6 linked regions of the Coturnix japonica genome follow. The main gene of each other region encodes a partner of the protein of the gene in region 2 in a complex. Links are inferred from orthologs where the notes say so. Each region holds a gene or a part of one and is shown on either strand. Other genes may lie near its edges. The genes, in order: DPM2, PIGQ, PIGC, PIGP, PIGA and PIGH.

Region 1 (3,887 bases), on a different chromosome or scaffold from region 2:
AACCTCACTCCAGGTACGCTAGAGCACCGAGGTGAAAGAAAACCCCTCCTGGAGAGGGGCTGCCTTGCCCTCCCCTCACTGCCTTACCTGGGGGCTGCAAACTCACCCCCCACCCCCCTCAGCCCTTCCCTCACCCCTCCTGTGCTTTAGCTGAATAATACCCTGGTGACTGAGCCCTGTGGACAAGGCTGGTCCCCAGGGGTGAGTTACAGCAAACACTGCCTGGTAGCAAGTGTTTGTGCTGCAAAACCACTTCCTGGATGCATTGGGGGGGGGTCCATGTAGATTTATCCCCCCCTTTTCCTCCCAATGGGCTGATGGGGGATGAGAGGAACATGGGGTAAAGCTTCGAGCTCGAGGTGTGGCTGAGCCTATTCACTTTGCCTCAACCCTAAGGATTAAATGGCAGAGCCCGTATTTTTGTGGTGGGGGGGAGGGAAGGGGAGATCCTGCTTTATTTTCGTGAGGGTTGTTGAGCCGGGTGACGTTTGGAAACTCGATTTATATCAGATTCTATAGAGAGATGGCTGATATTTTTGGAAAGGGAACGGCTCTATGCAAACATCCACCATCGTTAGAAGAGAGCAAAGTAATGGTGGTGGGCTCTGAGTTGGTCGGTTGGTTTTTACTTTGAAATCTTAATAAATCTCTTTAACTTTTTCTTTCCTTTCTTAAAGCAAAAAGGTGTTTAGAAAGAAACGCTGCTCCACTGCTGTGTGTAATGGTGATGGTGGCAGCTCGGGGCTGGCGGGCAGGGCTTGTTTTGCACCATTTCTGTCTGGTTTGGGTCTTGTTTCTTGTCAGGCCGCTGTGCCGTCATCGATCCAACAGGCCGTGTTTGTATCTTCTGTATCTGGTTCCTAACGTAGAGAAATAACAAATATATGAGGAAATCAATATCATGGCAGACGTTGTTTATTGGGTTCGGGGGAAATAAAGGTTGTTTTTTTGGTACTTCACACCGATTTTCCTGGTTTGGTTGTGGTCTTTTTGTGGTTCTAAGTATTTTATGGGGGGGGGTTGCCCTAAATATCAGCTAATTACCCCAGTTGTGAGAGCCCTGCAGCATTTTTTACCCTAAATATCGGCTAATTGCTGCAGGGCTCTCACAAATGGGGTTTTTTTGCCCTAAATATCAGCTAATTGCTGCATAGTTCTCACAAATGGGTGTTTTTTGCCCCAAATATCGGCTAATTGCTGCATGGTTCTCACAATTGGGGTATTTTTGCCCTAAATATCGACTAATTGCTGTAGGCCTCACCACTAGGCCCCGCAGCTCTTCCGAGCACCTCGGGAACTACAATTCCCATCATGCACCGGGTGACTCGTGCTTTCCCACAATGCTTTGCGCTCTTAAGCCCTTCCCACAATACTTTGCGCTCTGAGCGCTCTTCCTGTTTCGGAGAACACGTGGCCAGTGTTCTGCTCGCTGGTTGGTCGATCGCTCCCGGAAGAACGGGGAGGGCGGAAGTGCCGTGTGGTGGCCGTCGCCATGGTGAGTGAGGCTGCGGCCTACGGCCCGTCCCGTCTGTACCCGGCCCTGCCGCCCACACGGAGCCCTGACTGTCTGCAGCCCTGACTCTCTGTCCCTTTACAGGCTACAGCGACGGACCAGGCGGTCGGGTTCGGTTTGGTGGCCTTCAGCCTCGTGCTGTTCGTGTACTACACGCTGTGGATCATCGTGCTGGTGAGGGGATGGCGCTGGGTTTGGGCCCTGGGATGGTCGGGCCTGCAGGCCTCGTTTAGGAGCTGCAGGAGCTGGGTGTGCACTCGGTGCTCCACTCAATGCTCCTCTATGGAGGGAACTGGGCTCAAACCTGCTGCTGCTGGAGGACTTGGGTTCCCCCCCTTGATGTGCTCCCAGCTGTAGGGTCGGGTTCATACAGTGCAGGAGTCATTGCAATGCACTGTAGCATCCAAAGTGTCCCAGCCATGAAAGGATCCATGTGACAGAGGTTGGATGTCAGGGGGAAGTTCTGCACTAGGAGAGTGGTGAGGCCCTGGAACAGGCTGCCCAGGGAGGTTGTGGATGCCCCGTCCTTGGAGGTGTTCAAGGCCAGTTTGGACGGGGCCCTGGGCAACCTGATCTAGTAAAGGCGTATGTTTGGTGGCCCTGTCAGGCAGGGGGTTGGAACTACATGATCCTTGAGGTCCCTTCCAACCCGGGTCATTCTGTGATTCTCCACCACCTGCAGGTTCAGACACTCTTTTTTTAGCCGTCCCCTCCAGCCCCATGTTTCTGTTCTGCTTTTGAAACCCCACAGCTGCACGTGTTGGTGACTTGCTCTCATGTTGTTAATCCCCTGCTCTGTTTCTGCAGCCCTTCATTGACAGTGAGCACAGCATCCACCAATACTTCTTGCCCAGGGAGTACGCCGTTATCATCCCCGTGGTGGCTGGGCTGCTGCTGCTGCTATTTATAGGTGAGTATTATTCTGGTCGCTCTAATTAGAGGCTTCTAAATTAGGAAGAGAAAAGAGACACTTGTGCTGTATGTGGTCCCTGCAGTGGCTTAATTTGGCACAGGCGTTTGTGCGCACACACGTGTAACTTCAGCTGTTTATTCCTATGAGAATTAGAACTGTTTCTTGTGCTCTGCTGAGGTTCCATTATTCGCTGTGTGTGTTTTAATGGTGCTTTTCATTTGAAATTTTCGGGTTGAGTCTGTTCTCTCTCATTCCTGGTAGGTGTTTTTATAATGGTTGTGATGTGGAAGAGCAGAAAACCTGCCCGGAAATCAGACTGAAGGCCCAGCTGAGAGATGGAGAGAAGGCCCCCAGCCTGCAGCACCAAGCAGCCTCCTCCTCCAGAGCACTCAAAGCAGCAGCAGTGCCAAGTGGCTGCTCTTTCTCCCACATTCCTTCCTCAAAAGACACAGACTTGTGTAGTTTACAACTTACAGACTAAAGGGAAGCAAATCTGACCCGTGGGACTCACCAGGAGAGGGACCAGAGCTCCAGCTGGACAAATGTGCACCCCAGCTGAGACTACGTGCAGCAGCTTTGCTGGGCTGGGATCCAGCAGCTCTAATTGCAGAGTGTGAGTTCAGTTCTGGCCCCCAGCAGCTGCTCGGCCTCTGGATACTCTTTCCCCTCTTTGCTGCATACGGTAGTTTATTCCTTCTGGGATTTTCTTTTAAACTGGAAGAGCTAATGATGGTGCTGTGAGCTCTCGTTTCTGATGAGGGCCCTGTGAGCTGCACCCACCTCCCCTCCTACAGTCACCCCACTGAGGATGCAGCATGACCTGGGTGGCAGAGGAAGCATTTAGCTCCCTTACCAATGAATGTCAGCTGCAGTCTGGGCTCCTGCCTGCACTGGGTCAGCCCTGAGCTCCTGGTGGCTATAGTGAGCTGCATTCATCCTCAATAAAGTTCTCTGAGCTCTTTGTTCTTCCATGTCAAGTGCAGAGCTGCAGCTCCAGCCTCATTCCCCAGCCACCCCTCACCCCTGCAGGGAACACAGCCCCCCATTGTACTGAAGGACCTTGATTTCTAGGGCCAGTCCATCACCCTGTCCCAATTGCAGCTGTGCAGAGCTTTATTCCTGGAGAAATACAGGAGGGGGCAGCTCCCGCTGCCTGCCCAGGGCTGCCACAGGGCCCCAGTTGTGCATCCAGCTCCTGGTGTGGGATGAGCACAGGCTGCTATGCTGCAAAGGGCAGCGCCCCTATAAATATCCCTGTTGCTGTGATGGGAGGTGGCTGCTCCAGCTGAAGGTCACGGCTCTGAGCATGAATTCCTTCTCAGCACACAGCGCTGTGCCCCCAGCCCAGGCACATTGTGGGGTCTGCAGCCATGGAATGCAGCCCTGTGCTGTGTGTGTGTGGATCCCTGAGCTCCACTTGCTGTGCCTGTCAGTGCCATCACTGTCAAAGAGTAGGAACCA
Region 2 (4,172 bases):
CTCAGTGCCTCCCCAGGAAATCAACCAACCCACACCTCCACGTGTCCAAGGGTTTCTGCCTTGTGCTTTCAGCATTGCTCCCCATGCTTTCAGAGCAGCTCTGCAACAGCCTGCTTCCAACAGCAGGTTTATCCGGGAGATTCTCAGCCTGCTGTTGCCCACAGAACCCAACATCCATCAGACTGATCCAGAACCAGCTATGGTTAGAGAGGAGCTGTGCTGCAGCTCACATCACCTGTCACCAGGAGCCCATCCTTTTGCACACCAGTGATCTCAGAGATCAGAAAAGTATCAGCCTCTTGGCTGTCTCCAAGGTACGTGAAACTGGAAGCAGTACCAGGAGATGCAACGTGGCTGGTACTGATAGAAACAAGAGTTTTAGCAGGAACCTCATGAAGCACAAATCACATCTCCCCACCAAATGCAAGCAGGCCACAGCTGCAGCACTCACCTGCTGTTGCAGACCCCAGAGACAAGTGAAAGCAGGAATGTCAGCAGCATGCAGGCAGGCACCGAGGCCTGCTTCATCAGCTCCACAATGATACTTGCTTCAACGCCATCTGACTGCCAGTGGGTCATCTTAATGGGCCCATCATCGTATCTGTCTGTCATGAAGAGCACCTTGCTGCTTGCAACTGTGTTAAAGATGGCAGCGAGCTTGGAGGCATCCTCTGCCCCAAGGTCAGCCGTGTCCAAAGGGGGGTGCAGATGGGAAAGCATGACTTTCCGCTGGTCATAATACACTAAGATGATTTCTTCTTCTCTGTGGTTGTCTGACTGTTTCTGAAGGGTAGAACAGTTCCAGAATTTGCTGTCTCCCTCTTTGCTTATCTGAATCCACGGCTCATGAGAGAATATCGTCCCAAGGTCCTCCAAGAACTCACTCAAACTCTCTTCTTTCTCCTGTTTGCTGTTGTTCCACGAGCCGAGCACAGAAATGCCGACCTCAGTCACCTGCTGGACTTCCCTGAGATACTGCTTCACCTGAACAGGAATAAAGGGGAAATGGACCACGGCGAGGATGACAGCAGAGCTCTGCTCTGGGATCCAGCGGCCGATCAAAATGCCGCTTTCTGCCGAGGAGCAGCACGAAGGAAAGAAGACCTTAAGGACCATGCCAGCAATCCTTGGTAACGGGACACCTGCCAGCAGAGACAGAAACAAAACCTGGGATGGTGATTCAATGCAAGGAAAACGTGAGCTGGCCAAAGTCAGCAGCAAGGAGGTCTCCTTTGTCACCCGGAGCTGAGCTCAGTAACAAACACACCCAACAGCCACAACCACAAAGCTCATCCCCTCCTATCAACTAGAAACAAAGACAAGACTGTTTGCTGCAAGCAGGCTGCAACAACTGACTGATTCAAGTTTACCAAGTAGCTTCAATACAATACAATACAATCTTAGATGCAAGATGCCAAAGCAGGAGAGGCATCTCTGCTTTATCAGTGCACTGTATCTGAAGTACTTTCCTTGATGTCATTAAGAAAATATCTCAATGGCTTCATTAAGACTTTTATTAAAAGGAGCTTCAGGGCTGCTGACAACATCCCTTTAAATAAGGTGCAGGTTTCTAACAGAAATCTAATTGCTGTAAGGAGAACACTCGCACAGAACAATCGACATCTGGCACCCGTTGTCCTTTTCTGTCCTTCAGTGCTTTGTTAGAGATGTGAAAACTCCACAGCCCCTCAGGCTGGCTGCTCTGCGAGGGACCCAGTCAGTCGGAAAGAGGAACGCAGTGTATTTATAACATGCACAGAGGATGCACAACGTGCAGGTCCCCGTGGTTTGGTTTCTTTCTTCCCTTTTTAACACTGCACAACTGATGGAGTAAATCTCAGCACTGGGCAGTTTGCAGTGGGATGGATGTGGAATGCATCACTGTGCAGGCAGTGATGCAGCAGCAAAGGCAAGTGGTTAAGCTGCTCCCAAGCCCACAGTCCTGCAAACATGGCTCATGGAGGAGCACAGTGCAGCTCACCCCAGTGCATCCCATCCATCAGGGTGCTCAGGGTGCTGAGCACAGCACCTGCAGGCACTGGGGGCTCCAGCCCATGGGGAGAGCAGCTTTGGGAGCCCACAGTGGGAATGACATCACCATGACCATGGATAACTGCAGAGATGTGGAGCCTGTGAGCACTGTGGGAGAGCCTCAAATAACCTGTATTTTGTCCAAAGGGCTTCAGTTTGGAAAGGGAAAACATAGCAAAAGAAGGGTAGAAAACTGGCAGGTGTGACATCCTGAGACCAGAAAGGTGCAGCACAGCAGGCACAGAAAGGACGAGGGACCTGCAGTCCAACAGGGGAACAGCAACACTAAACCCCAACCAAAAGACCCAAACAGATGGAAAAGCAGGACATCCTGCTCACATCACCAGCAGACGGCGACAGGAGCTGGGGAGGGATGGCTTTAAACTAAACGAGGGATGATTTCGGTGCCCACAGCCACGGGTGGGCCCTGGACAGCTGAGATGGGGGGGGGGCCCTTCCCAGCAAACCCTAACCGTAACCCTAACCGTGCAGGGGACGTGGGAAGGAGCCCCCGGTAAATCCGTTCCTGGGAACCCCGAGCTCTTCCCGCTGCCGTTATTGCCCCCATGCCTGCAGACACAGCACACACGCCATGTACCCGCACCCCACCCGCACCGCACCCCCCCACCATCACCCCCAGCCCCGCTCCGGTCCCGCTCCTCCTACCGCTCCGCACCGCCCGCTTCCGGCTGCCCGCACGCTCCGCCTGCGCACCGCGCTCAGCCCGGCCGGCCCCGCAGCTCCGCGCCCCGCGTTCCGTTGCGGTGCTGGTTCCAGCCCCTCACCCCGCAGCGCTGCCCTCCTCCCACCCTTACAGGGCTGGTATAACCCGCAGCTGCTGCTGAGCCTGCGAGATAAGCAGCGCCAGCGCTCGGTTTCACTATCTCATGTGGCCGCCGTGCTCGGCTCCGGTGCCTCGTGGTGCCTGGCAGCCTCCCGTTGTGCTCTGACCCTGCACGATGGGAAGGGGCACCCACCGGGATGGATGTGCTTACAATGAGGGATAAACGCCTTTGGCAGCTGTAGGGCATAGATTGCAGCACAGAGTGCAGGACACAGCCAGGCTGAGCACCCTAAATTGTCAGCAACAGCCCTGGAGCAGTGGGGCAGCCTGTCCTGCCATGAGATAGAGCAGGAGAGGAAAACACCCTTCCCTCTGCCCTGCTGATAGCGAAGCCCCACGGCTGTGCGAGCAATGGGATGTGCACGTAGGAAACGCGCTCCGTGCAGTAGTTGCTGCTTCCCTGCAGAGGTCAGGAATGCGGCATGGAATTCGTTACCTTGCTTTTAATGGTCTCCTGGAGGGGATCTCAGACTCGGCTCTGTCCTGGCCTTACCCCTCTGGCTGTGCTCTGCGTTGGACATCAGGGTGGCCACAATAAATGGGAGCGTGTGGAAGAGATGTAATTATTTCATTGAAAAGACACACGAGAGGATGGCGATAAGTTTGCAATACACCAACACAAAGTCATTTGTATGGAGCCAGAGTTGGAAGGGACCCACAGGGACCATGGATACCAACCTCCGGCTCCACACAGCACCACCAAAACCCAAACCCTGTGTCTGACAGCTGTGTCCCATTGCCATGGGGGGGCTGTTCCATGCCCACCGCCTTATCTCAGTCCTTTAGCTGCTCTGGTGAATCCAAGAGGTGTAGAGCTGAACCACTGTTGCTGTAATCCTTGTTTCTGCCCTCTGGAAAAGCTGGATGCCAACAATGTGGTTGAATGCAGGGACAACGGGAATACCTTCATTTGTGACCCACCAGTGGACCCAAAGCTCAGCAGGGTTGTGGTGGGACCGGCCCCACTCTGAAGGTTGTCAGAAGGTGCCCAAGGGCTGTCGGGGCCTCACGTGGTACCTGAAGACTTTCACACAGTTCTCACCTGTGTCTGCCACAAAGAGCTGCCCAAAGGGGGAGCAGGCCACGCCAGTTGGCCTCCGCAGCCCTGTGGATACCAGGCAGATGGGAGCTCCGTTCTCTGGGAACAAATGGACAGTGCGGTGCTGCTCGTCTGCCACCACCACGCTGCCTTCCGTGTCCACACACACCCCTGCTGGGTTGCCAAACTGGTGTCTGTATTTGCTGCTGAGGGAGCAGACGAGTTGATGGCTGCTCATGAACACCTTGACGTCTCCAC
Region 3 (3,664 bases), on a different chromosome or scaffold from region 2:
CACAGTCTGCAGAGATGCTGCTGTATGCGGATGGACATGGCAGTGTGGCTGTGCATGCAAGATATGTGTGAGTGTACTCAGGTCTGTGAGTGCCCCTGAATTCCGGCCTCCTGCCCAGCACCAGGAAGGCTCTGGTGAGACCAAAAAGCCTGGGGTGCTGCAACTTTGGCCAAGTTCATGCTCTGCTGAACCACTTGCCTCTGGAAAACAACAGCACAGCAGGGCTGGCTCATCTGGAGATGCCCTCCAGTTTGACTTTTTGGCTTAGAGGACCCTCTGTTGTGGGGTGCATGGAATCAGACACTGGACTGTTCCAGGAAGGACCAGCATGGCTCCCATTACAGCTGCAGCACCCTGCGGCTGGGCGGCCACCACAGGAAAGCAGAGAGACTTTGCTTTGTGCCTCTGGTTCGGTGGCTGGACAAAAATACTGCCATGGGTCTGCCAGCACCTCCCTGCTCACCCACAGCCCAGCGCAGTCACAACACACACAGATGCACTCCCTGCTAGAGCGCGAGTCTTTATTGGATTAGGTGTCCCCTTGGAGCTGTGTCCCAAAGAGGCCCCTCACAGCAGAGGGCACTGCTTCCCCCTGGCCAGGCCTACATGAGGAACCTGGACAGGTCCTCCTTGATTTCAGCCTCATCCCACGGCCCGTGGATGTTGTCCTTGAGCAGCTGGAGCCGGATGAGGCAATAAGGGCAGAGGCAGGAGATGGAGAGCAGCAGTGAGGCAAAGAGCACAGCACCCACGCTGGAGACGCTCGCCAGCCCCACAAGGGCCAGCAGTGCGAACAGCACCGTCACCCCCACGTAGCAGTACGGTGTCTGGGCCTTCAGCTTCTTCTGCAGCATGGGCCAGAGGGCGAAGATCTGCATGGCGAAGGTGACCATGACGAAGGTGTGGAGGGAGCGAGGCAGGCGGGAGGCCAGGCACACCGAGGCAAAGATGGCCATGTTGAGGGACAGCGTGCTGGACACGATGGCGGCGTTGGCACCGTAGTTGAAGAATATGAGGTGGCCGAGGAGCATGAAGGCTGACATGGCATAGATGGTGTCTGTGCTGATGGACTCTGTCAGCGTCTTCAGCACCGGTGAGAAGCCGTAGGTGAAGGCAGTGAACACCAGCGTGCTTTTCAGGTCTGCCCACCGCGTCCGCCCGCTCTCCTGCCGCCCGACCCCGGCGTCGATGGCATCAAAGAGGATGTAGCCAAGCAGAGAAGTGAGCAGGGCCGCCCCAAACAGCCCCTGCGGGCTCAGCACCCCGGCGTCCATGTACCACCAGGTCACAACGAAGACGCACACGCTGCAGAGCTGCTGCACCACCACCCCCGACTCGAAGACCACATTCCAGTACTGGTACTGCCGGGCGTGGATGTTCTTCCGCAGCTCTTCCAGGAACCGCTGGTCCACGTAGTTATCGGGGAAGGGCTGCCGCTCGTACAGCACCTTCTGCCAGCACCGCCTCGGGCTCGTCTCTACCTGCGCACAGACCATCCTCCCAGGGCCGGCCCAGAGGAGGCCGGCACAGCGCCCCGCTCCTCCGCTCACAGCCTGGGGCTGCTCTCAGGGCCCTGGGAAAGAGCGAGGTGCGGGTTAACCGCGATGTGAGCTCCAGCCGCGAGGACGGGGCGCACCCCCCCCTCCCCGCTCCCAACCCGCCGCCCCGCTCCCCGCTCCCGCCGCTTCCGCCGGGCCCGGCGCGGCGCAATGGACGCCGGGGCTCTCGGAGCCGCCCCCTGGCGGAGCTGCCCGGCCGCACAGCGCGGCGCTGCCCGCGGGTGTCGCTGCCTCCGGGGCCGGAGCCGGTAGGAGAAGGGCCGGGAGTGGCGGTGTGCGGGCAGGTGACTGTAATCGGTCTCGTACTTGTTGGGGAATAAGGTCGCTTCCGAGCCGACAACATGTAGTTAACTCTTCGGGGTGAGCCGGGAGCGATGGGCTCCCCCTGCCACCCATCGTGCACTGACGCTGCTTCCTGCTCGCGTTCCTCTCGGCTCACCGCCCACTGCTGCCTGCAGCTGCATCACAGCACGATGGGGCGCCTGCCCCTGGGACTGCTGTGAGTGACCGCAGCGCCTCGGCAATGGGGAGATGCGGCACCTATTGCTGCCATGGTGCATTCGTGCCCCGCTGGACAACTCTCTGCCCGAGGTCTAAAGGGCAGCTCAGCCCTCCAGGTCTCCTAGGCTCTGCGGGGAATGAATCACCTGCACAGCAGACCTGTGACTATGGGACCGGCCACGTCACCGCCTGTCCCTGCCAGTCGAGGGAACACGTGCTGTGCAGTCACCCCTCAGCCCACCCGAGGTGACGTGGCCTTGGCAGGGACAGCAGAGCAGCTGGGAGAGGGACGGTCCGTCACACCCGAGTGGTGCCTGAGGTCAAGGATGAGAACTGCTTCGTGTGTGTCTTCATCCCATGCAACAAGATCTCCCTCACCAGCTGCAGGGGTGGGATGTGGACCCCAGACTGGCCCAGCCCTCATACAGTGAAACACTGGGTGCTGCTACCCATGCTACCCATCCTGCCCCACAGTCAGCACTGTGAAGCACTTGTTGCCATAACCTCAGCTCTGGGGGACCTGACTGCTTCCCCACCCACCCCACCTGCATTTCAGACCCACTCAGAGCTCACTGCTCGCCAGTGTGTTGCACAACTGACCCCACTGCAGACGTGTTTATTTCCTGCAGGGCTCCTGCGCTGCAATATGCTGCTAAAAGCTGTTTGGAAGCCATGCTGGAAAAGGTGACAGGCTGGGATTTAAATAGCTGTGACTGATCTAGGCCTCTGCTGGAGGTGTTTGAATACCAAAGGATTCAGAGCTCCTGGGTTGCCAAACTCCCCTGGCAGCCATGATGAGAGAAGAACAAGGTGGAACTGCTGGGATTCTCAGTCAGCTTGAGGGCAAGGGACAACTGGTTCCTGTTCTGTAGATGTCTGTGCAGTGATGGTGGTGGGAAAGCTTTTGCTTTTTCATTAGCTTTTCTTTATGATTTTTTTTTTTTCTTTTGCAGTCCCTAGGAAATTGCCTCCAAGAATGATGCCAAAGCTGTGCCCTGCCAGCTGTGAGCTGGGCAGCGCCTGGTGTGAGGAAGCCAAGAGTCAGCTGCCCAGGTTACTTCAGCTCAGCCCACACTGTACGTGGCACATCTGTAGCACACAGGGAGGAAAACAGGTCTCCATGATAGGTCTATCCCTATGCTGGGATGCAGAAGCATGTGGAGGCCCCTCTGGACACCCTAGAATTACCTCTGCCCAAGCACAAGTGCATCAGGACTTTAGGAGCTCTGGGACCGTGCCACAGTCTACCTATGCCAAGCATCAAGGCTGTAGATGAGGGCCGGCTGGCCAGAGATGAAAGCAGTCACTCTCCCACACAGGGTCACGCAGTCCCTGCCAAACATCACCAGTTGCAGTCCCCTCCCCATCTGCCCAGGAGAGCTTCCCACCACCCTCAGTGTGGCCGCACACCCAGATGAGGGTCATTTCTTCCCTGCAAAGCAGAAACAGTACAAAATCATGCAGGCGTGGGGGGCTGCTTGGGGGCAAATGTAACTGCGGGGACAGGTTTGTGTTCAGAGTGAGGGGATGGCTCACTGCTCCATCTCAGGGTAACAACCTGTGAGCATCCCTTAGGATCAAATAGGACCACACCAGGAAGCCAC
Region 4 (4,249 bases), on a different chromosome or scaffold from region 2:
CCAGTAGTGCTGCCTGGCGTTCTCATGGTTGAAGTGCAGGACCCAGCATTTGGTTTTGTTGAACCTCATCATCCCATTGGCTTCAGCCCAGCTACCCAGCCTGTCCAGATCCCTCCAAAGGGCCTCGCTACCCCCAGGCAGATCAACACTTACAGCCAACTTGGTGTCATCTGCAAACTTACTGAGGGAGCACTCAGTGCCCTCATCCAGGTCATCAATGAAGATACTGAAGGTATAGCATAGAACATACATTCCTTTAAAGAGTGTTTAGAATATTAACACAACTGTTGAAGTATTGTATTCTGCGCATAGCATAGAAAATATCTTCAGTGATATAAACAAATTGAATGCGACACACTACTACTAATGGTCCCTAGTACAGGTCATAGAATCATAGAATATCATGAGTCAGATCCACAAAAAGATCACTGAATCCAAGCCCAGGCTCCACAGAGTACCACCCAAAACTCAAACCCTATGGCTGAGAGTTTGTCCAGATGCTCCACAAACTCCCTCAGACTTGGTGCCATGTCCTGGTGAGCTTGTTCCAGGGCCCTACCACCTTTTCCTAAGCCCCAAACCTGATACAGCTTTACAAATCAGAAAGTCACTTTATCTGTACTGAGGGCAGTGAGGCGCTGGCACAGCTGCCCATAGAAGCTGTGGTGCCCCATCCCTGGAGGTGCTCAAGGCCAGGTTGGATGGGGCCCTGGGCAGCCTGAGCTGGTGGGGGGCAGCCCTGCCCATGGCTGGGGTTGGGCTGGGTGGGCTGTGAGATCCAACCTAAGCCACTCTATGATTTTATGAAATCCCAATGGAATTCCAAACCCACTCACCAATTCACAGCAGGACTTATAACCAGCACTGACAGCCAAGGCCGCAAACTCAGAGTCAGACAAAGGTTCACCCATGATTCGAGATCCTGAAAGATAACGATGAAAAGAAATACAGTGAGGAGGGAGCCCAGAGGCAAACAACCCATATTTAAGAGGACTCATCCAGATCCCTACAAGAGTTTCACTGAAGACCTGTGTTATTTCTACCCATCACATCCTTCAGCCTCCGAGCCCCTCGTCCCGCCCTGCCCGGCAGCTCCTCTGACAGCCGCCACCCGGAAGCCCCGCGGCTCCTACTGACGTGTCGCAGAGCGGCCCCACAGCGCCGGTCCCACCCCAGGCATCATCCAGCCGGGGGCTGCGGGGAGATGGCGATCGCCCTTCCCTCCTGCTGCAAGGAAAGAGGCACAGGAGGGAGGCAGGGATGGAAGGGTCGCACCCGACGCTTTAAGCACTCACCAGCCCTCAGAAAAGACCGACCGAGCACCCACCCGCCCTGAGCTCAGCGCTGAAGCTCACTGAACCGCACAACCTCGGGCTGTTGCGAGTCTGCGAGCGAAAGCTGCCTATCTGTGACTGCGCATGAGCGGAGGAGACCCATAGACTCGCGATATCCAGGGTGAAGAGAGAGGCTGGTGTTGTTCCTCCTGTACCTTCCGGGTCGGGAGGGTAGAGGACTGTATGGCCGCGGTCAGTCAGGCTGTATAGGGCCGTCACCTGTAGCCAGCCTGGTGCGTGTGTGATGGCGGCGTTGTCCTCTTCACAGTGGCTGTCCTTATGGCAGCGGTGCTTGGGGTAGTGGCTGTCCTTATGGCAGCGGTGCTTGGGGTAGCCGCCTGGTAGCCGGGCTGCCAGATCTCCTGTCCCTTGCTCGTAACACAGCTCTGAGAGAGCCTTCTGACCTCTTCTTACCGTTGTTTGTTTCTTCCCTGAGTTAGAGGGAAGGAGCAGTGAATAATGGTGGAGAACTCTCCAGCCCCGCTGCCTGAAAGGGCAATATATGGATTTGCTCTGTTTTTGGGATCTTGGTTTGGCTTTAGTAAGTATGCTGGCTACTGAAATCTGTTACTTTGCTTATAGGGTAAATGTAATTCTAACTAAACCATCTCGGAAGGGTGATTTTAGTGTTGAACTGCCCGGTGTAAGGAGGTGCAGTGGAGGAGTCAGCATTACTTCCCAAACCTGTGGGCTGATTCATTACCTTCTGTGATTCTAATGTGTTTTGTCTTTCTTTTACAATATGCTGTCTTTTGTAGTAACATGGATAAAACCTAATTTAAAACTCTCTGCAGTCTAGTTTTAGTAAATCTTATATCTGAATTGTGTATATTGCCACTGCTTAGTAACCATTGTGGAGAGGAGTGGTGTATGGTAGAATGCTACAGAGATGGTGACAGATATTCAAAAGGCTATTTATGAGGAAAAACTCACCAATATACCTTCACTGGGAAATGCTGAGGCAACATCCAAGAGATGCTGCCTTAGTGGTGGTCAGCCCTTAAATGAGGTCTAGAGGAGGTGGAGTCAAGCTCCATCCCTTCCAGGAGCACAGATAAATTACTCTCACCTGTGTTCCTACAGCTGACCCAACACTTGCCTCAGCTGATTAATCAGTGGTTCAGGCTGTGAGTACCAAATTCCCATACAAGTGGGTATCATAGGCTTACTTGAGTTGGAAGGAGCCCTTAAAGGTTGTCGAATCCAACCCCTGCAGTGAGCATGGACACCCACGGCTTCATCAGGTGCTCAGAGCCCCCATACAGCCTGACCTTGAGTGTCTGCAGGGATGGGGTGTCCACCACCTCCCTGGGAAACCTGTGCCAGTGCTTCACCACCCTTTTTGTAACAAACTTCTTTCTTATATCCAATCTAAATCTCCCCTCTTTTAGTTTGAAACCATTTCCCGTTGTCCCATCACAACAGACCCTAAAGAATCTGTCCCCTTCTTTTTTACAGATCCCCTTCAGAGACTGAAAGGCCACTCTTAAGTCTCCCCAGAGCCTTCTCCAGGCTGAACAGCTCCAGTTCTCAGGCTGTCTTTGTAGGGGAGTCAGGAAGTATTTCCAGAGTACAGAAGTGTTATTGTATAAGTGGATGTTATCCTCATGCTAGACAAGATTTTTCTGAGGTGTATTCTACCATATTTTAGTAGAGCTATTTTTGTTTAAATTCTGCTAAAACCAAGTAGTTTCAGTATGTCCAAGTATGAGAGTATTGCTCTAAGAACTTAAGAAGGAAGTCTAAAATGGTATTGTTTGAACTGCTGTGATTCTTTTTATTCTTCTGTGCAGTGCTGTATCTTATCTGGGCGTACATCCCTGAGACTTGGCTCTTCTCATTGGGACTGACATACTGGCCTCAAAAGTAAGCTCAAACTTAATTTCTTAAGATCAGCCTCAAACTGTTAATCCTGGATATGTGTAATGATTTCCAGATAAGAAATTGGGAAACTGTTCCTAAAATATGTCTGTTTTTTTCTGATTCTAAAGGAATGTAATGTTTGTCAAACATTATTTTATGTGGATAAGCATTTAAGATAAACATTTCTCATTGTGTCTTGGGAGGGATGGTGGTATTTTGATGTTTTATGATAAATTTGAATTTTTCCTTTCAGAGAGTTTGTCAAATAACATAAAGTAGCCTTTAAACTATAAATATAAAAAATAGAAACTAACTGTAAATGAATCTACTTGATGGTTTATGCCAAAGTAGTTACACTGGTTTTTGCAGTCAGGTATCTTCCTGGGGGAAACCATGATCCATACGTAGTAGTGTTGTTTCTTTGCCCATAGGTAAAGCTAGTATTAGATAAAATATTAGATAAAATAGCCACTACATTAAAACTGTTACATCATTAGACATTTGTTACTAGAAAATATATGAACTTTAAAATCTTTTTCCTCAGGTACTGGGCAGTTGCTTTGCCAGCGTATTTATTAGTTGCTGTAGGAATTGGTTATGTATTACTTTTTGGTATTAACATGATGAGTACAGCTCCACTTAACTCCACGCATACTATTACAGGTAATTTTTTTTTTTTTTGTGGGGTATTTCTTGTTTTTTTTCTAAGATTTTTATATTTAACTGATAATTTCTGTAAATACACATATGTAGACATAATATAAATCAAATTTTAAGCTTTCAAATATTTTAACATAGAAAAGAAGTTCTTGGGAAATACTTGAGGACCAGAGTGAAAAGATCCTAAAAGCTGACTTCTGCTTCTTTGTTACCTTATGGCAGTTATTTCCAACTGCTAAAGTGTACCATATTAGCAGAGCAGACAACCTTAGAGAAACAAGTCTTAGGTATGTATCCAGGGATGTGTACATCCCTCTCATATCGTCCTCTCATTTAGTGCCAACCCAAGAGTTTGTATGGCAGGTGGGATGTTGGTCTTGCTCTGTTTGGAA
Region 5 (4,247 bases), on a different chromosome or scaffold from region 2:
AGAAGCACCTATAAACATAGGTGTCTTATCAGCATTGTTTTTCTCCTAGAAACAAAACATAACATCATACCAGACACTCTGAAGAAAGCAATTCCGTCCCAGGTGAAACTAAGATACATATATACTGGAAAATGAGTTCCAATGGTGCGTACACATAGAGAGAGAAGCAACACAGACACCTTAGTTCCATTTTCTCTAAAACTTGATCAACAATAAAGAAATACAAGACCCTCTTGCTTTTATTCCAAAGAAAGTTGGTGGAGAAGGAGTTGCCTCTTTTTGTTTCATGAGCAACCACCTTCATAATACTACTGTCTGATCCTTCTAGCACTTCACAAGAACACAGCTTCACAGAATTAATAACAAAGATTCATTTCCCTTTCTCTGTTTAGATACATTATCTGAATTTTCAGTGCGAGGCGTGACCAATGTCAAAGTCTAAGGTAAAAAAAAGAAGTGTATATACTTAGAATAGCAAAGATCAAAGACCATCAGTTTGAAGAGACACTGTGAAACCAGAAGAAAGAAAAACACAACTAACAAACAAGTATCTTACATAGCAGAGAGGAGCAGATGAAATAATTACTGACTGAGGTACTGGAAAATCAAGAACCTGGTATTTGCTGTATAAAAAAAACTATATACAACAACAAAGAAATATTCACAGACATGACAGAAACATTTGGTAACATTTAATCCAAGGAACATGTCTGCAGCACCACAGGAAGACATAGTAAATAAGTCCTGGCCTGAAGAGTTTCAGACTGAAATTAGAAAAGTTAAAAATAAAGTAAAGCAACGGTTTATTATTTATTTATTTATTATTTATAAACGGTTATTTAAACAAAATAAAGTAAAGCAACGGTAAAGAGGAAGCTTCCAGAATTACTAGCAATGATTCTCACAGATACCATCAACATGAAGTAGCCATCTAACAGTTCTTGCCACGTAGTGATACTACAAGTACATTAAGAGTGTGATAAATTCAGATTTTCTCTGACACAAGACAAGGTTCACATCAGGTGAACTTGCAAGATCACAGTCCAACTCTGGAAGTTCTCAGCACTTGGTCTTTCTACCTTGCCTTTGGTAGTTCTCATCTTCTCTAGTTTTTGAGGGAAGGGGGCAGGGAGCTGCTGTCTTTCCCACCTCTTAAGTACAGTGATTATAAACATGCTCAGAACAAACCTGTCATGTAGCTGGTATCTTTCCCGCACTTCTTCGAGTACAATTCGTTTTGGTCCTTCTCCTCCGACTAGGAAATGTAACTCTGGATACTTCTGACAGAGCTCAGGAATTATACCACTAAGCAAATCTATACCTAAGAACATAAAATATAAGGCAAGATGTTATTGTATTGGATATTAGAAGTTATACCACCAAGAAAATCTAGACTTAGGAGCAACAAAATGTAGAACAAGCCATTACTGTATTTGGTATCAGCACTCATCATGACGTAGCCTGCTGCTATATTCCCCACTGTCTTATCATTATTTGCCCATGTACAAAGATGCTCTCCCTCCTGTTTATAAGCTCCCCTCACGTTGAGAGGCCACAATGAGGTTGCCCCAGAAGCCTTCTCTTCTCTAGGTTGAACAAGCCCAGCTCCCTCAGCCTTTCTTCATAGGAGAGGTGCTCCAGCCCTTTAAGCATCCTCATGGTCTCCCCGGCCCTAATCCAAAAGCTCCACACCTTTCTTGTGCTGCAGGCCCCATACCCAGATGCGGTAAGGTAGTAAAGTAATAGAAGCCAAGCTTTGCACTTTATGAATTTCAGTTTACAAATCTCAGTATCACAAAAAAAATACACCTCTAAATCCAACATGCGCAAATGGGAGTGATATATACAATGGACATTTTTTGCTACCTTTTCTGTAAACAAGCCTGCTGACCACCACAATCGTTACGGTGCTGTCATCCCTCCTGGATGGGTCTGGGGTGAAATCAGTGGGATCCACAGCATTAGGGATGACGGAGACGATGCGGGGGTCCAACGCCGCTCGCAGCACCGTGTTCTCCTTACTGGTGTAGGAGACGCAGATGATGTGGTTGGTATCGCACAGGGACACGGTCAGAAGTTTGTTGGTGAGCACCGAGCTGACGTCCGCAAAGCCAAAGAGCGAGTGGTCAGTGAACACGGTGCGCAGCCCCATGGTCTTGGCATGGAAGAGCGCGTCGTGCGCCATGGCTGAGAAGGAGCTGTGGGCATGGACGATGGTGACACGCTCCCGCACAAAGATGTACCTGAGCAGAGGCAAGCTGTGGAACAGCGTGGTGGCTGTGGACTGGTTGTACATCACCCTGAGGGGCAGGTAATACACCTTCAGCCCGTTGGTCAGGTAGCGGACGCCCTTACGGCTGCCGTAGGCGTGGGTGACCACCAGTACCTTGTGGCCACGCTCGATGAGGCACTGCGACAGCTGATAGATGTGGCTCTCCACGCCGCCCATATTGGGGTAGAAGAAGTCCGACACCATGCAGACGCTCTGCGCTCTCCCTGCCCCCATCCTCCCACAGGGGCAACGACGAGGTGCCATCACTCTCTCCCGGCCGCCCTCCGGACCCCAGCGGGCCCCTCGCCGTGGCTGGGCCCGGCCATGTCCCAAGCACAGGCCGCACTGCCGGAGGGGCACGCAGCCGCCGCGGGCCCTTCAGGAGAGCGCTCACCTCCAGCAGCCGCCACCCGCCTGGCAGGGGGGGCCGCGCACGTACCTGCCGCCCGCCGCCGCTCGCTGGGCGCTGCCCGCCGCCTTCCCATATCCGGGCACGGCCGCGTCACCGCGGTAACAGCGAGGCTGCCTCGCCCGGCCCCCGCCGCCCAGCCTCGGCCAATCGCCGCCCGCTGTCGAGTCACGACCAATCGAAGTCGGTGGGAAGGGCTGAGGGAGAGGAGGTGGCGGTTTCGTTTCTTCCGTTGTTCACCTTGTGTGTGAGGAGTCGCCGCCCCGCAGTGACTCCGCTCTGGAACCGCTTACGCAGTCGTTATCCAGGCAGGGCACCGAGGTGTCTCGGAGCAGATAGGTTAGCCATTGAGATGGGGAGGATCTTGAGCTGCAGGCCTCACCGCAGCCATTCTTAGGGTACACTGACCTCATTGCAGCCTTTCAGTACCTGAAGGGAACTTACACCCAGGAGGGGAGTAAACTCTTCGAAAGGGCTGACAGTAGCAGGACTAGGGGAAATGGTTTTAAGTTGAAAGCGGGAAGATTTAGGTTGGATGTTAGGGGGAAGTTCTTCACTAGGAGAGTGGTTAGGCCCTGGAACAGGCTGCCCAGGGAGGCTGTGGATGCCCCGTCCTTGGAGGTGTTCAAGACCAGGTTGGATGGGGCCCTGGGCAACCTGATCTAGTAAATGTGTATGTTTGGTGGCCCTGCCAGGCAGGGGGGTTGGAACAATGTGATCCTTGAGGTCCCTTCCAACCCGGGTCATTCTGTGATTCTGTGATAGATGGGCAGCAGGATGCTGGCATCACTTGGCTGAGCCTTTCTGATCTTACCCCAGTGAGCTTTGGAATCAGCAGACACCAGTTCAAGCTTGTCCATTGCTGGCTGCCAAGACTGGATGTTATCACAGCAAGCTAGAGCTGTTCATGACTTCGTTGTATGTTCCCAATGTTTTCTTTGGCAGCTGCTTCTCCTTGCAAAGATTTCTGGTATGAATTTTGTCAGGTTCAATTCTATCATCTCTCCTATGTGAATATCTAGAGCATGAGCTGACCTAGGCCACAGTGCTGGTTGGGTTAAAGCTTGGACAGCCATTGTTTGGAGGTGCTGACTGCAAGAAAGAATAAGGGAAAAAAAAATCAGCTGACGTGTTGGTGTGTTGAATGAGCCATTGCTCATTGTTTGAGTCTTTTCCAGTGTTGAGCAAGGTGAGGCCGGTATTGGTACATCTGACATCATCATGTAATGCTCCTCCTGGGTGAAACACCTGGTGGGAACCTGAATTTCAAGATATCATCGAGCTGTGAAAAGAGCCAGGGGAGCTGGAGGCCATAGGGATCCTAATTCTCAGCAGAAACTGGAGTCTGGATATAAGAAGTTTGCCTTAAATAAAATCCAAGAAAAAAAAACAAAAACACCAAAACAACAAAGTTGTATAGAACAAGGAAGAAAGCGCTTTGAGGTTCTCATGTGCAGCACCCTGTAATGTGATCCCTGGCAAGTTATGGTAGTAACCTGCTTTGGGGTCAGGCTGAAACACAATGTTGAAATGTTCCTTGAACATCTCCAGGGTTGGTGACTCCAC
Region 6 (4,122 bases), on a different chromosome or scaffold from region 2:
AGGGCATCCCTTGGCTGCATACGCGGAACGCTCCCTACGCGGCCTGATGCTCCTCTGGCTTTTGGGAGCAGCGCACGCCCGCTGCCGAGCGGATGCGGCCCCCGGGAGCCGGGAAGACACGCGGGCTGCGGCAGCGAGCCCTTTGTTTCGGGCATCCCACGAGGTAGCGCCGCTGTTCGGCACGGGAGATGGGCGGCCGGCACGGCGCGGCGCGGCAGCCCCTCACGCAGCCTCCCCCGGCCCCGGCGCAGCACAACGCGCGGCTGAGTCACGCTCCCCCCGATGTGCGCGGGGAAGGGGGAGCCCCGATGGGGGTGGGACGAGTCGGATCGCGGCCCGCGGTGTCTCACCGAGCCCGGCCAGCCGCTCCACCAGCCCCGCGGCGCGGAGAGTAGCGGGGCCGTGGTCCACTCCGCGCCGTTTCTGTCAGACAGAGAAAAAGGGACGCGTTAGCGAGAGCCGCCCGGCTCCAGGCTACAGCCCCCCCCGGCCCGGCCCGGCGCCCACCTGCCCCCTGGAGAGCGGGGCGCCCACCAGCGCCACCGAGTGCGCCCGCCGGGACAGCTGCAGTCCCGCATCCGCCCGCTTGCGGAGGAGCCGCACGAAGCCGCCGCGCAGAGCCATGGTGCAGAAGATGCTCAAACAGCCGATGGTGCCCGATGGTGCCCGATGATGCCGATGGTGCCCAGTGATGCCCACCGCGGTCGCCCCGCTCCTTTTAGCCGGCTCCAGCTCCGCGCGCACCGCCGGGCCCCGCCCCGCCCGCACACCCCCGGGCCGTTGGGCCAATGGCGGCGTGCGTGGCCGGAGGTGTGTCCCGCCCACGGAGCCGCGCGGGGCCCTTAGCGAGACCCGGCCGTGCCGCTGCCGCTGGGGTTTTTCCACTGCCGGGCGGGGTGCGATGCGAGGGGGGACGGCGGGCAGCGCGACGGCACGTCGGCATGTCGGCTGAGGAGCCGTGCTCTGTTAGCAACGCTTCTCCTTGTAAAAAAGCTCAGCCCCAGTCTCTAATATTAGCGCCCCATTTTCAGCCTATACAGGCCTTTTCTTTTCACTGTTTGTACCCCCAGCCATTCGGCCCCCGTTGCCGCCGCTCTTTTGTTCACACGAGGCATCCACGCGGGGATTCTGAAGCTGCCATGAATGCAGGCAGCTGCCCACAGAAAGTTGGTACCGGAGGGGGCAGAGGGGTAAGCGGGGAGCAAAACAGCGGCCCTGCTCCGCCATGGTAAGAGGCGCATACGAGAACAACGCAACCACAGCCCTTAAAGCCACGGCTCCAGCACGGCCCCGCTGACTACCGCAGCTCCGCTCCCCACGCGCACGCGCCGCCCGCCCCTTCCCTTCCGTTCCCTTCCTTCCGTTCGTTGCTGTGTGCACGGGGCGCAGTGCGATGGAGGAGCGGCGGTACCGCTCGGCGTCGGGGGCGCCGCTGTGGCTGCGGTGCCGGCAGCACAGCGCTTCGTGCCGGGAGCTGGCCGTGCGCTGCCCCCGCCTGCAGCTCCGCTCGCTCAGCGCCGTCACCTCCGCCGTGTGGCTGGCGGCCTACGGGCTCTTCGTGCTCTGCCAGGTACCCCCCGCCCCGCTCCGCTCGGCTCGGGCTGATGGGTGTGTGTGGTCTGGAACCCTTTGAAACATACCCCAGAAAGCAGCTGTGGGTTGAAGACCATTAGGCTTCGTTACCAGGTCTTTGGCCGTATAATATACTGTCACTGATGTATACAACTGCATTTGGATGAGATTTCTCCAGTAACTTTACAAGGAAATACAATGTTCTTGCTGGTTTCAGTTTAAAGTCGTTCTTTCAGACCATCCTATAAGGCTGATGTTTGGTGACTTAAATCCCATCACGCACGTATCAGCCAACCTTCTGAATGAATGGACTCCACCTATGTAAAATCACCTTGTAAATGTAGCCACTACGTTATGATTTACCGTTCAGCATTTACTTATATATTGGTCTAAGTTCAATTGGTTTTAAGACTAGAGCTCTGTCTTTGGTTTGTGTTACAGAATAGTATGGTGCTTTCTGCCGCCATATTCCTCACGCTGATCGGCCTCATCATCTACCTGCACTTTGTGAAGATTGACCAGGAATCCCTGCTGGTCATCGGCTCACTTGGCATCCAGGTGACTTCATCCTACGCTTCGGGGAAAGAGAGCACAACCTTCATTGAGATGAGCCAAGTGAAGGACGTGGTTATCAATGAAGCCATCCACATGGTAATCATACTGTCTTTCTTGTATACCTGCAGGCGCACTCACCACTGTGTATATTCACCTAGTGGCTTAGCAGTGCAGTTGAACACAGCAGCATAAATACAAATACATAGACTTGACTGCAGTCTGGAGCGATGGGGAAATGGCAGATGTTCTGCACCAAACTGCTTGCATGGAGGGGAGGGTGGAAAGCTGTAACTTCCATGAAAGGCTGAAGCAGGCAGCTGTGATACCTCTTTAACATGACACCCATAAATCCAGCAGTTTAATGTACCTGAGCCTGGAGTCATCTCCTGCTAAACTTATCCAAAAGAGTTGTTTTGCTGGCAGAGCACTCTGGGAAGTCTTGGAGATTTGCATAGAACTGTATAAAGTTTTCTAGCAAAAGGAAACAAAGGTTTCTCATTATATGCAAGGAGGCAGAAAAGCCTTTGCACTTACTTGTCAGTTTTATGTAAGACTTGGTGGGCTGTGCCACCATCACTGTTGAGTTCAAACAGTTACGGAGAACTGAGGTTGTACACATTGTCACTGATGTGTGTGAAATCATCATAGGTGAAAACAAATCTGTACTAAGTCCCCACAATCTTCAACGTGCTCCAACACTGTGTAACTTCTTAGAAAGGCAAAACAGGTAATTAGTAAAATGCTCTGCATCAAAAAAAAAGCATAAGAGAAAGGCGTTGTCAGCAGGAATGTTTAAATCCTGTGCTGTTGGTTTTTTCCTGTGTATTTTGTTGCTAATATGTTTAGTAATATCTTGAATGTCAGTAACTCAGGTAGATTTGGGTGAAGAATGGCTTTGTGGAAGGGATGGGTTCTCTGAAAACCCACCTGCCACCTGTTCAACTAGAAACAATAAGTTCATGGAGCAAAACCATCCTGCTATTTTTGAGGCTGAACGCAAACAGGAAAAAAGAGAAGGGGACTGATTTCAAGCTGCTTTATTCATAACCTTGTAGCAAGAATATTTACCCTCCTGAAACACAGATGTTTCTGCTGATTTATCTTAATGAAAATGTCATTGAAACACTTGTTTCAACTCACTGGGCTGAACTAATTCCTCTTCCTGTGATGACTCTGGGCACTTTGATAGTGTTTTCAGACTTCAATTATTTTGTCTGTTTGTCTTGTAGCAAAAAGTTATCTATTACCTCTGCATCCTCCTGCGGGACCCCCAGGATCCTCAGGGAGTGTCTGAGGTTGTGCCACTCTTTCAGGTGAGCATGACTGAATAGTGGGGCACTACAAGTATCTATATGTATGTCAGAGGCCTTGTCATACATTTATTTCACCACACGCAGCTGATTATGGCCACCTTTCTTTGACCGCACATTCAAGTTGGATCTTACAGCAGTGTGCTGTGAGCGGTATTCAAGTCTCACAAAGTGAAGCACCAGGGAAGTTTTGTTCATTTATCCTCCATGCAGAGAATAGTGCGCTGCATAAATGTGAACCTGACCAGCAGATTGCAGGAAGTAGAAGTTTTTGGCTCATGGAGGGTAATGAGGACTTGCACAGCTTTCTGTGTGATCTTATGCTCAGCGTAACCTTTATAATTATAGTGCTGTAGTTGATTTTTCTCTTGTTTCTCTGTGCCAAAAAGATTTCATAAAAATTTCCTTGGTTTACAATGGTAACTTCCCCTACATCCGCTGACAAAGATCACAGTACAAGCTGTGAGCAATTTGCTTAATGTATAATAACTTGTTTGTTTTATTCACACCCTGCCTATCTCATGCTCTGCTTTGCTCAGACTCTCACTAACTTGTTTTGGCTGTTCATAATCCTGTTTTGGGGATTAAATTTCTTTCTCTCTTTGTATACCTAACTCAACAATATAAGTGAGGTATTTCATCTATGTCCAAGGGATACCCAACTTGGAGGGCTGCACTTAGGATT

The links.
Region 1: PIGQ (region 2) and DPM2 share a complex: the UniProt entries of both Homo sapiens proteins name them as parts of the glycosylphosphatidylinositol-N-acetylglucosaminyltransferase (GPI-GnT) complex. The link is inferred for Coturnix japonica from reciprocal best matches to the Homo sapiens genes PIGQ and DPM2.
Region 3: PIGQ (region 2) and PIGC share a complex: the UniProt entries of both Homo sapiens proteins name them as parts of the glycosylphosphatidylinositol-N-acetylglucosaminyltransferase (GPI-GnT) complex. The link is inferred for Coturnix japonica from reciprocal best matches to the Homo sapiens genes PIGQ and PIGC.
Region 4: PIGQ (region 2) and PIGP share a complex: the UniProt entries of both Homo sapiens proteins name them as parts of the glycosylphosphatidylinositol-N-acetylglucosaminyltransferase (GPI-GnT) complex. The link is inferred for Coturnix japonica from reciprocal best matches to the Homo sapiens genes PIGQ and PIGP.
Region 5: PIGQ (region 2) and PIGA share a complex: the UniProt entries of both Homo sapiens proteins name them as parts of the glycosylphosphatidylinositol-N-acetylglucosaminyltransferase (GPI-GnT) complex. The link is inferred for Coturnix japonica from reciprocal best matches to the Homo sapiens genes PIGQ and PIGA.
Region 6: PIGQ (region 2) and PIGH share a complex: the UniProt entries of both Homo sapiens proteins name them as parts of the glycosylphosphatidylinositol-N-acetylglucosaminyltransferase (GPI-GnT) complex. The link is inferred for Coturnix japonica from reciprocal best matches to the Homo sapiens genes PIGQ and PIGH.

The regions. Positions count from the first base shown.
Region 1 is NC_029532.1:3,618,070-3,621,956, forward strand, and holds DPM2 (dolichol phosphate-mannose biosynthesis regulatory protein), read left to right. Parts: upstream 1-1,394; 5' UTR 1,395-1,492; coding exon 1,493-1,495; intron 1,496-1,597; coding exon 1,598-1,687; intron 1,688-2,320; coding exon 2,321-2,423; intron 2,424-2,687; coding exon 2,688-2,746; 3' UTR 2,747-3,387; downstream 3,388-3,887. UniProt on the Homo sapiens protein: Regulates the biosynthesis of dolichol phosphate-mannose. Regulatory subunit of the dolichol-phosphate mannose (DPM) synthase complex; essential for the ER localization and stable expression of DPM1.
Region 2 is NC_029529.1:11,842,229-11,846,400, reverse strand, and holds the start of PIGQ (phosphatidylinositol N-acetylglucosaminyltransferase subunit Q), read right to left. Parts: upstream 2,801-4,172; 5' UTR 2,698-2,800; intron 1,143-2,697; 5' UTR 1,117-1,142; coding exon 452-1,116; intron 1-451. Other genes in the region: NHLRC4 (NHL-repeat-containing protein 4), read right to left, coding at 3,853-4,172. UniProt on the Homo sapiens protein: Part of the glycosylphosphatidylinositol-N-acetylglucosaminyltransferase (GPI-GnT) complex that catalyzes the transfer of N-acetylglucosamine from UDP-N-acetylglucosamine to phosphatidylinositol and participates in the first step of GPI biosynthesis.
Region 3 is NC_029523.1:7,059,429-7,063,092, forward strand, and holds PIGC (phosphatidylinositol N-acetylglucosaminyltransferase subunit C), read right to left. Parts: upstream 2,194-3,664; 5' UTR 1,866-2,193; intron 1,574-1,865; 5' UTR 1,497-1,573; coding exon 603-1,496; 3' UTR 501-602; downstream 1-500. UniProt on the Homo sapiens protein: Part of the glycosylphosphatidylinositol-N-acetylglucosaminyltransferase (GPI-GnT) complex that catalyzes the transfer of N-acetylglucosamine from UDP-N-acetylglucosamine to phosphatidylinositol and participates in the first step of GPI biosynthesis.
Region 4 is NC_029516.1:96,314,497-96,318,745, reverse strand, and holds the start of PIGP (phosphatidylinositol N-acetylglucosaminyltransferase subunit P), read left to right. Parts: upstream 1-1,449; 5' UTR 1,450-1,567; intron 1,568-1,774; 5' UTR 1,775-1,793; coding exon 1,794-1,875; intron 1,876-3,127; coding exon 3,128-3,200; intron 3,201-3,741; coding exon 3,742-3,860; intron 3,861-4,249. Other genes in the region: E3 ubiquitin-protein ligase TTC3, read right to left, coding at 837-922, 1,029-1,047. UniProt on the Homo sapiens protein: Part of the glycosylphosphatidylinositol-N-acetylglucosaminyltransferase (GPI-GnT) complex that catalyzes the transfer of N-acetylglucosamine from UDP-N-acetylglucosamine to phosphatidylinositol and participates in the first step of GPI biosynthesis.
Region 5 is NC_029516.1:109,991,564-109,995,810, reverse strand, and holds the start of PIGA (phosphatidylinositol N-acetylglucosaminyltransferase subunit A), read right to left. Parts: upstream 2,801-4,247; 5' UTR 2,537-2,800; coding exon 1,867-2,536; intron 1,322-1,866; coding exon 1,189-1,321; intron 1-1,188. UniProt on the Homo sapiens protein: Catalytic subunit of the glycosylphosphatidylinositol-N-acetylglucosaminyltransferase (GPI-GnT) complex that catalyzes the transfer of N-acetylglucosamine from UDP-N-acetylglucosamine to phosphatidylinositol and participates in the first step of GPI biosynthesis.
Region 6 is NC_029520.1:27,609,980-27,614,101, forward strand, and holds the start of PIGH (phosphatidylinositol N-acetylglucosaminyltransferase subunit H), read left to right. Parts: upstream 1-1,322; 5' UTR 1,323-1,393; coding exon 1,394-1,570; intron 1,571-2,013; coding exon 2,014-2,223; intron 2,224-3,356; coding exon 3,357-3,440; intron 3,441-4,122. Other genes in the region: ARG2 (arginase-2, mitochondrial), read right to left, coding at 351-423, 508-624. UniProt on the Homo sapiens protein: Part of the glycosylphosphatidylinositol-N-acetylglucosaminyltransferase (GPI-GnT) complex that catalyzes the transfer of N-acetylglucosamine from UDP-N-acetylglucosamine to phosphatidylinositol and participates in the first step of GPI biosynthesis.